Schizosaccharomyces pombe: one gene and its partner. The protein of the gene in region 1 interacts with the protein of each later gene in a pairwise test. Each region holds a gene or a part of one and is shown on either strand. Other genes may lie near its edges. The genes, in order: cbh1 and moc3.

Region 1 (4,771 bases):
GGCATATTCCATTTTGTTTACTCTACTTTCAAATTTTTTTTTTTTTAAAGTGGGTCATCACTACAGAAATTATTCAATGAAATATATCTTCTGTTTTGTAGCTCAATGAAAACTCATAATTATATAAACATATTTCCTTAAATTCCACACTCCAGTTGCCTCATATCCATAATGTGATTTTTTTATGTCTTGTTTTGGTAAAATCTCTGATTGTGTGTGGCTTTTTTACCTAGCTATTAAAATTAATGGTTCGGTTTTCAGATTCGGACTTAAAGTCATATCAAAACCCCTACCCATTTTTCTAGCATTTCCAATAGTGGTTTACCAGCGCAACAACTCAAACAGCATCTCACTCACAAAACCATATGATCATTCATCATCTATAGCATTTAAATTAAATTAAATTAAATTAAATTATTAAAGCATCATTGCTTAATGCTTTATTTTTCATTTGCGCGCTAACTGATTTTTATTTATTAATTGTTCTCACTGCTTCTCTATATCTCTGTCTTGCATACAACAAAGGAAAACACAATGTGACACAGTTTATACAAAAAAAATCATTAATAATTCATAATATCATTAGAATCCTATAAAATGTTTTGTTGTTCAGGTATATGTACACACACTAAGTGAATTTAAAAGAATATTAAACGAGAAGGGTTCAAAGCCGCCCGCCATAGTTAACCAAAAGTAAGCAGAAACATTAATCTCAATTAAAAAAAGTAATTTTGTACGAGTGTCGACTTTTGTTTCACTATATTTTTTTTTTGGAAATTTGTTTGCTTTGGAGATTGAAATCATCCAACGTGAAGCACTTATTGGGTTTAGTAAGACTCGCTCTCAATTTATTTCCGTAAGTGGATCACGCTATTAAATTATTAGGGGCAATCACTCTTTGTCTGCGGTACAAATCTAAAACAAACGAGGGATCCCCATTTTCGTGTTGCTCAAAATATTTTATTAAGACTTCAAAGGCCATGGCAGCCTCCACGTTTGATATTTGAGGCTCCACGTCTTCTTCCTCATCCGACTCAAAGCGTCTCTCCTCCAGAAACTCTGCAGCAACGGTATCCACAGCATCTTGATGTAATTTGGTTTCATCTTCTTCAGAAGGTCTAATGTATTCATTAATTTGCTTAACAGCTTCGCTGCCCTTGCTTGAAATCAGATTACCAATTTCCATAATGGCCTTTTGATACGACTCCATTCCTTGTCCTTCGGCCTCGGAATGTGGACCCAATAATCCTGATCGGAGAAAAGATGCTTGAATAGTCTTTTCACTCACCCCAAAATTCCAAGACCAAAGCATCCACCGAATGGCTTTTAAAACATTAACGGCTTTTAGAGGATCTCTCAATATGTTGATTTGATTAAGGGAGTATTGCAACCAGTATCTTCGATAATTCGCTTTAAATGTATCGACTATTCCTTGTTCAAACGGAGACTTAATGTCCAATGTTTTTTCTGGAATTCGAAATACAGAGGTGTTCTGAAAACCACCTTTAAACCGTCGAACACTTTCAACACCGAACTGATATGTGTCATTGCTCTCTAACATCAATAGGACCTTGCGTCCTTGCATACGTGTGTCAAACCACCGAAGCCATTCCTCCATAATAATTGGTGAAATTGAAGCTCGGCCATTCCACTTCCATTCGAAGTTCATACTTTTAGGGAAAATACCGCACTGCTCAAAAGATCTTGGGTTTTGTGCATAACCCACGATCCATAAAGGTAGTCGTTCTGACCCATCGGCATTGCAACACATAATTAAAGACACTTTGGCTTTTCCACGCTTCATTCCCTGGATTTCCTGATAATCCAAGTTTTGTTTATTAGGAGTGAGTTTCCAAAAAAGGCTTGTCCCTCCAACGCAAAATATATCTTTTTGGGCATAAGGCCGTATAAACTCTTGAATATGAACTGGGTATTCTCTAAACACCTCAAATTTGATGGATTCCAATGCCTGATTTACCGCACTTTGCTGGATATAATGTCTTCTTCTAAATTTATCCAACCAACCATTGCTAAAGTCTGGTAATGGGAGAGAAGCATACGCCGGAATTTTCGACCAAAATCGAGTAGCAGCTTGTTTGATCATATCCCCTGATATAGGAAGGCCTTCAACTTCTCTTTGTTGCAACCATTCGTACACGGCATTGTCAAGCAAAGGAAACTTTGGAGCTCGAATTTTTTTAATATCACCGAGTCTTACACTTCCATCATCTAAATAACTGTATTTGGGTGAAAGAATTTCGGAAATCGTTGACTGCGATAAATCTTTATTGTACGTTTTTCGAAACCATTCTGTCACTTCCTTTTGAGGAATTCTATGGGCAGATTGGTTATAATAATCTCGAATTGCCTTTTTCTCTGCTAAAGAGACGGCCTGGCGTATAGGAGGCATTGATTTTCCTTAATACTTACTATGCCGATACTTTTCCAGACCGATATAAGAGTATAGCCTTGGATTTATACAATTATTTTATGTTGTAGTAGATATCGGAAATAACGGTGAAAAGACGAATTCTATCCTTGTAGGGTTTAAGAAGGTGAGTACTACTAGTGCATCCTTCTGCCTTGCACCCTATATAATCTAAGTGCAATATACCGAACCTATTGTTAATCTGTAATAACAATGCCATTGGAGATGCTCAAATTATGACGTTCAGGTTAATATAGCAAATTTGCGTATCTTAACGATTTTGTCAGTAAGAAAAAGAGAATTCAAGAGCAAAAAATAGGAGAAAGAACGACATGAACGCTGTTAGAAACCGTTTAAAATCAATTCTCATATATGTTTTAAATGAGAGTCTAATTGAATACTTCCTCAAATTTCATTTCTGTAGCACACCTCTTCTCACTATTAAACAAAAATGTGTAAATAAATAAATGTTCCTTGGTATTGTAACAAAAATGGCGATTCTGAAGTTCATGAGCATTTTCCCTTCTCTTTCATTTAATAAATTCTCGAATTTTCAAATAACATAATATGTAAGTTCTCAGTTTTGGTGTAATTACTTTTAATTCCAATATTTCCATTCATAGTTCAATTCATAATACTTACTATCAAGTCTATTTCAATAATGTATGTTACACGTGTGATCCAATGTTTAAAAATGTAGAAGTAAATTTATAAAAGCAAAGCCAAAAATAAAGAACAAAGCTGTTTAAGCTAGTTACGGTACGAAGAGTAGGTGTTACTTACGTTTGATTCATTATTATTAACAGTAGAACTAATTAGTAAGCATCGTCTCAAAGAACCATTAGGAAATTCTTACAGCATACGGTACCGTTATCATATAAATAGCAAGCTTTGCATACCTAGCAGCTTAGTTTTTCCAATATTATTCGCTTAAAATTGAGAATACACATTTGATATTTACAGAGTTAAGCATTTTTAAATTAAAGTTGTGAAAAGATGCCTATCGTTAGCGGATTTAAAGTCGGACCTATTGGCTTTGGTCTTATGGGTTTAACCTGGAAGCCCAAGCAAACTCCAGATGAAGAAGCCTTTGAAGTAATGAATTATGCCTTATCCCAAGGCTCCAATTATTGGGATGCGGGTGAATTTTATGGTGTCGACCCTCCCACCTCTAATTTAGATTTATTAGCTAGATATTTTGAAAAATATCCCGAAAACGCTAATAAGGTGTTTTTATCTGTCAAAGGTGGTTTGGATTTTAAAACACTAGTTCCTGATGGAAATCCGGACTTCGTGTCAAAGAGTGTTGAAAATGTGATAGCTCATTTACGTGGGACCAAAAAGCTAGATCTCTTCCAATGTGCTCGAGTCGACCCAAATGTTCCCATTGAGACAACCATGAAGACATTGAAGGGGTTTGTGGACTCTGGAAAGATTTCATGTGTCGGCCTTAGCGAAGTTTCTGCTGAAACTATCAAACGTGCTCACGCTGTGGTCCCCATTGCTGCAGTCGAAGTCGAATACTCCTTGTTTTCTCGTGATATCGAGACAAACGGTATTATGGATATTTGTAGGAAGTTATCTATCCCTATTATTGCATACTCTCCTTTCTGTCGTGGCCTTTTGACTGGTCGCATTAAGACTGTCGAAGACCTTAAAGAATTTGCTAAATCTTTCCCATTCTTAGAATATTTGGACAGATTTAGCCCTGATGTTTTTGCTAAAAATCTTCCATTCCTCCAAGCTGTCGAGCAACTTGCTAAAAAGTTTGGTATGACTATGCCCGAGTTTTCACTTCTTTTTATAATGGCGTCTGGAAACGGTCTGGTCATTCCTATTCCTGGCTCCACATCTGTTTCTCGTACAAAGAGCAATCTCAATGCACTGAATAAATCTTTGTCTCCTGAACAATTTAAAGAGGCCAAAGAGGTCTTGAGTAAATACCCAATCTACGGGTTACGTTATAATGAACAGCTTGCGGGCACTCTTTCCGTTTAAAGTGCTGAAGTTAGTCGATACTCTTTCGCATTTCAGTTTTGAAATGCATATTAAATATAAACTTATTATATGCTAGCCTTACTTAGGTATTCAGTAATGACAATTTATTTACAGCGAAAATGTTAAATCATTTGTTTATAGAGTTTGGCTTGTTATTACCGATTTCTGCTCGATCTCGTTTAAATGTTTCTAGTATGCTCTAAAAAAAAAAGAAAAAAAGAAAATGATGGGTGCTCACGATCAGTTTAAAGCTGCTCTACAAATGGAATGTATTGAAAGTCAGCAAAAAATATTCAAAGACTAATATGACTTTCCTTGCACATTTTCCAAAACGCCCGTCGTTGA
Region 2 (4,839 bases), 3.5 Mb from region 1:
ATATTCCTGCACATGATACCCGAGTTTTGTATTCAGCTTTATCGCCTGATGGAAGAATTCTTTCAACTGCAGCCAGTGATGAGAATCTGAAATTTTGGCGAGTTTATGATGGGGACCACGTTAAAAGGCCCATTCCAATTACCAAAACCCCGTCCAGCAGCATAACAATCCGTTGAACAACACCAGTTTCTTTTAGATTTCAACGTTTAGCTCGTCGAATCACTATGTTGCATCAGTTACTCACTATTTATTTATTTGGATTTGGCGCTAATGGGAAGATAATTGACACGTTTAAACTAATATTTTAATGACTCGTGAATAAATAATATGTGCTACAATTCAACTTGAGTCGATTTTATTATAATAGGATTGATGCTCGTATAACAAATTTGTAAATTCAATAGTTTGGCTTTTAATGAGAACAAGTTGGTTAATATAAATCTTCAGCCTGGCAAATCATTTTTCCGAAATGTGACCTTGTTGTTCCAATCGCTAAAGATATTTTGGTCTCATTGTTGTTATAATGTTCGCATCATGGAAGAGTACTAGGTAGTTATAAAAAAAAAAAAAAAAAAAAAAAACTTATCAATCTAATTCGTATTATTGAAACACAGATGAATTAAGAAAAAAAAAAACTAATGCTAATTCACGCTCATAATTGGCAAACATTTGGTATTTACGATCTCATGTATTTTCTTAACTACCTATTGCTGTACCATAGTTGGTTTTCTTCATCGGGTAATGTTAATCTCATCAGTAAACAAATACTGTTATTATACGTTATTTGCTTTAAGAAGTGAAATGAGAAAAATGGGTGAACTAGGTATGAATAGTGAATCCCCTATTGTTACAGGAGGATATGGATTTCAATAAAAGGTAAGACCTTTGACAAAGCCGACTAACCTTGGGGTGATCTGATTGAGATTAAGTACAATCATCCTGATAAAGCAATAATCGCATCACGAACAACGAACAATTCCACCTTTAGGGGTGGATAATTTGGTTTTGTGAGACTTGCATTGGCATAGGTTTTGATGCTTTTTGTGCCTTTCTCATAAATCTGGAGTATAGTTTTCTTACCGAGCGAAGAAACATGATGCTTTTGATCCAGTGACAGTTTCCCAGAGATCGACAATAGGCCACGGATCTTCGCTATGGTTATCAAGCTACTAGGGTACTAGGGTAGGTGTAGCGTTCAAAGCTAACAGTTGTATTCAAGCTTAAGTTTATATTTTGTTAATATAAAAGAGTGACAAGTTTGCATATGAATGAAGATTTTCGCTAGTGCAGAGTGAATGAACGATTTGAAATAAAAAAAAAATGCAGGAAGCATCTTCGTATGCGTAAGCCATGTAAAGATCAACCAAATCGCTGTAACAATGGAGAGACATGTGGCTCCTGAACATGACAGATATTCGAAGCCACGTGGTTATTAACCAACTTGATCAACCTAAATGAGAATGCAAACTATATTTAGGTACATGCAAAGAATTTTTTTTATAAATTGTCTGAAAGAAAAAGAAAAAAAACAGAAAAAAACGAAAAGCAAGGAATGCTATTTATGAAACACATGAGGGCATAATCTAAGTATCAAAAAATTAACGAAACATCTGTGTTTTTTTTTTATTTTTAAAAGAACATTAGAGGTTAAACAAGTTAATCGTTCTTATACTGTTTTTGCTTGGCTCGTGATTTTCTCAATTCTTTGGATTTTTGTACTAATGCGTATCAAGCAAGCTACTTTACTAACGTCTAAATAAAAAGCTCTTAGTATTGTTGTTGCCTTTGGGCTTATCAAATTTGCCGCCTTATCACTCGCTAATGTCGAGGTTCCTACTTGAAAGTTGTTCCAACATTTTTTCTAAGTCCTTTATTCACCCAAATTTGCATTTGTAAATTGGGTGAGCTTGTCGCTTTTGCTAGTTTTGTTTTCAAGTCACTTCCTATAAACCTATTGATTGTGCAAGAGTTGCTAGCAAATTGCTAGACGACCATTGATTTTCACCTTCTTTTGTTTTTTTAGGGCTTTTTCTTTTGTTATTACGAACAGTTTGGCCGTCCGGTTATTCTGAAATAATTTATTGTATTCATATATATATAATTATAGAGTTAGTAACGCTACCTTTTTTAAAAAAAAGACTACAAAGAGTTTCTTGGCCTTTACGAAAAAGGTGCTTAGTTTCCTTGTTAAATTGGAGCTTAAATTTTGTATAAATCGGCTTCCAATTTCATGTTCTGTGCTTGCGTTTTTTCTTTGCGCGCTTTTCTCAAGCAGCGTAGCGTTTTCAAATCGGGCTTTCTTTACTTTTGATTTGTTTAGTTCCTATTATCTTGTTATTCTTTTTTTTTCTATCTATTGTTTCCCTTGCAGTTATGAACCCGTATGTTTCTTATCCCGAAATTCATATGAAACGGAATAGAACGGGTAGTATTAATTCAAATCCGCTATATATTCCCAACCCAAACGTCGAGCCTACGCCCAAGCCCACAAAAAGAAGAACGAAAACTGGATGTTTAACATGTCGCCGTCGCAGGATCAAGTGCGACGAAACCAAACCTTTTTGTTTGAACTGCACAAAGACAAATAGGGAATGTGAAGGTTATCCAAATTCAGCTGCTCAAATGCAAGCCATGGGGAGTGTATCGCCTCCTGAGCTAAGCGTTCATTCTGCTCAACAGCCATTGATACCTACTTCAATTGCTTCAAGTAGCGCTCAAACCGGAGACACTTTTTCCGGCTCTTCACAATCCAATTTTAATACAAATGATCTTAATCAGATGACCTCCTCCTCCAATTTATCCACCGTTACCCCAATCAAACAGGATCATCAAAAACCTATGAATTTACAAGGATTTCCAAGTGCTTATCAACAGCATCAATACCTTCAATCCAATCATAACGTTCCTACAAATAATTCTTCTAGCGCTACTTCGTCTACAAAACCCTCTGTACAATCGGTGGGTCAGGCCTCTTACCCTTTTCTTTCATCAGTTTCCAATTTCCCTTCAAACTTTAATTCCGAACTGTTTCCGTTTTATTTTCACGATGTCGTACCTTCTATTTGTGCATTTGAATTTGATAATAACATAGCCTTGCATTTTTGGTCAGTCACTGTTCCCCAGTTTGCTCAATCGATGCCTTGTATTGCTAATTCTTTAATGGCTTTTGCGTCTATTAAGAAGCTCGACGTTTTTGGTGCTTACAGTCATTTGACCAGAGCTCTTCGCTGTCCAATGCCTGGTCCCAATTCTTTTGAATACCTGTTGGTTTCTGCATTTTTGACTCTCACTCAGCTCAATCTCCCAGCCTATGATCTCAATTTTTGTAATAATTTTATTAGAAAGTTAAGTTGGTCTTCGTCTACCAAATCAAATTATGTCAGCTTATTGATTGCTATGGTCGTTCGTGAACTAGTTTTTGCAATTCTTCCTCGTGGGTGTATCTGGGGGTTTAATGGAAAGCCTTTATCGGAAGTTTCTGTTTCTCGAAGTCATGCACCTGTTTCGGATTCTTTGTTTACTATTGGATTGGACATTCTCTCTCAACCAACCTTGTCTGATGATTTGCATCGAGAACGAATGGTTGCTTGGCGAGATGAATATCATGTGCACTTGTATTCAGCATCAAGAAGTCCTCTTACTAAAGTTATAGATTGTGTAGGACATGCCGTTACCAAAAACAATAATGACGTTCTTTCTGGCTTACAGCAATTAATGCAAGAAGAATGCACAGATATTGCAGTATTACGCACTTCCTATTTATGCGTATTATCTCTACAAAATGTTTTTGCATCAAACTCTAAAGAATTTAAACTTCGGGCACAAATCGAATCTCATTTCGGAAGATTGATGCTAGAACATTTTATGGATTGCAATGTCTTAAATCGACCAGTACTTTAATTTTAAAATCATTTTGATGCTTTTCAATAAATATTGATATAGAACTGTATAATAGCTAGACAAAATCACGCATCAAACATATAATCTCTCGTTAATAAGATAAACACTTCATTTGTAAGATTCGCATAGTGTAAAAAGAGCCGAAATTTACGAATTACGGTACGACAGTCATACAAATGGTTTAGTCTTTGTTCTAAACATACTATATATTACCTTAGGAAGAAGACTATTGAGCGGTGGCTGTATGGAGATGTGGTTCAGAAGGGTACACAGGTGCGGGACTTCCCATTCTAGTTGCGAGGGAAGACTGTTCTTTTAAGCTGCTCAATTGCTTAAAGCGGAATTTCTCGTAATGATAGTATGAGGTCGTTTCAATTAAATCTTGAAGATGAGTTCGCATCAAAAAGTTACGAAGAAAAACAAACTCGCAGTGGTTTTCATCATCCACATTGACAACCCCCCATCTGTTTTGACGACCACGAATAGGCCTTCCATCTACGATAATGGCTTTTTCGGAACCGACCACGGCAAAAGGAATAAGATTTCGGACGGCAGCATTTAGATTAATTTCCTCCTCATCGGCGTCATCAGAATCATAAGGATACAAATTGATGTCGTGTTTAACAAATTCTTCACGGATTTGCTGCTTAAATGCTGCTCTTTCTTCAAGAGTCAATGAATCAGACTTAGCGATAACAGGCACAACATTTACGACTTCTGTTAAGCGTTTGAGGACAGCAATATCAATAGGGCGCAAAGAATGTCCAGTTGGGCGAATAAAGAATAAACAACAATGTACTCTTGTGTCTTGTAGACGTTTCTCGCGATGTGAATTTAATTCACGACGAAGATAGGAAGAGTGTTGGTCCCTAATGTACTTAATTATAGGCTCCCAGCTATTATAGTTAGAAATTGCTGTGCAGGAATAGAAATTTCCAT

The links.
Region 2: the proteins of cbh1 (region 1) and moc3 interact in a two-hybrid assay, tested with the Schizosaccharomyces pombe proteins (2 studies listed by BioGRID).

What each region holds. Positions count from the first base shown.
Region 1 is NC_003424.3:4,458,360-4,463,130, forward strand, and holds cbh1 (CENP-B protein 1), read right to left. Parts: upstream 2,520-4,771; 5' UTR 2,411-2,519; coding exon 866-2,410; 3' UTR 561-865; downstream 1-560. Other genes in the region: pyridoxal reductase Plr1, read left to right, coding at 3,425-4,426; abc1 (ABC transmembrane transporter Abc1/Ybt1), read right to left, coding at 4,720-4,771. UniProt on the Schizosaccharomyces pombe protein: Binds to centromeric K-type repeat DNA and ARS3002 DNA. The CBH-binding consensus sequence is Py-Pu-A-T-A-T-Py-Pu-T-A.
Region 2 is NC_003424.3:990,813-995,651, reverse strand, and holds moc3 (DNA-binding transcription factor Moc3), read left to right. Parts: upstream 1-1,863; 5' UTR 1,864-2,373; coding exon 2,374-3,900; 3' UTR 3,901-4,020; downstream 4,021-4,839. Other genes in the region: ubiquitin ligase Slp1, read left to right, coding at 1-176; mitotic and meiotic (sporulation) septin Spn2, read right to left, coding at 4,127-4,796. UniProt on the Schizosaccharomyces pombe protein: Induces sexual development and ascus formation. Also involved in calcium homeostasis.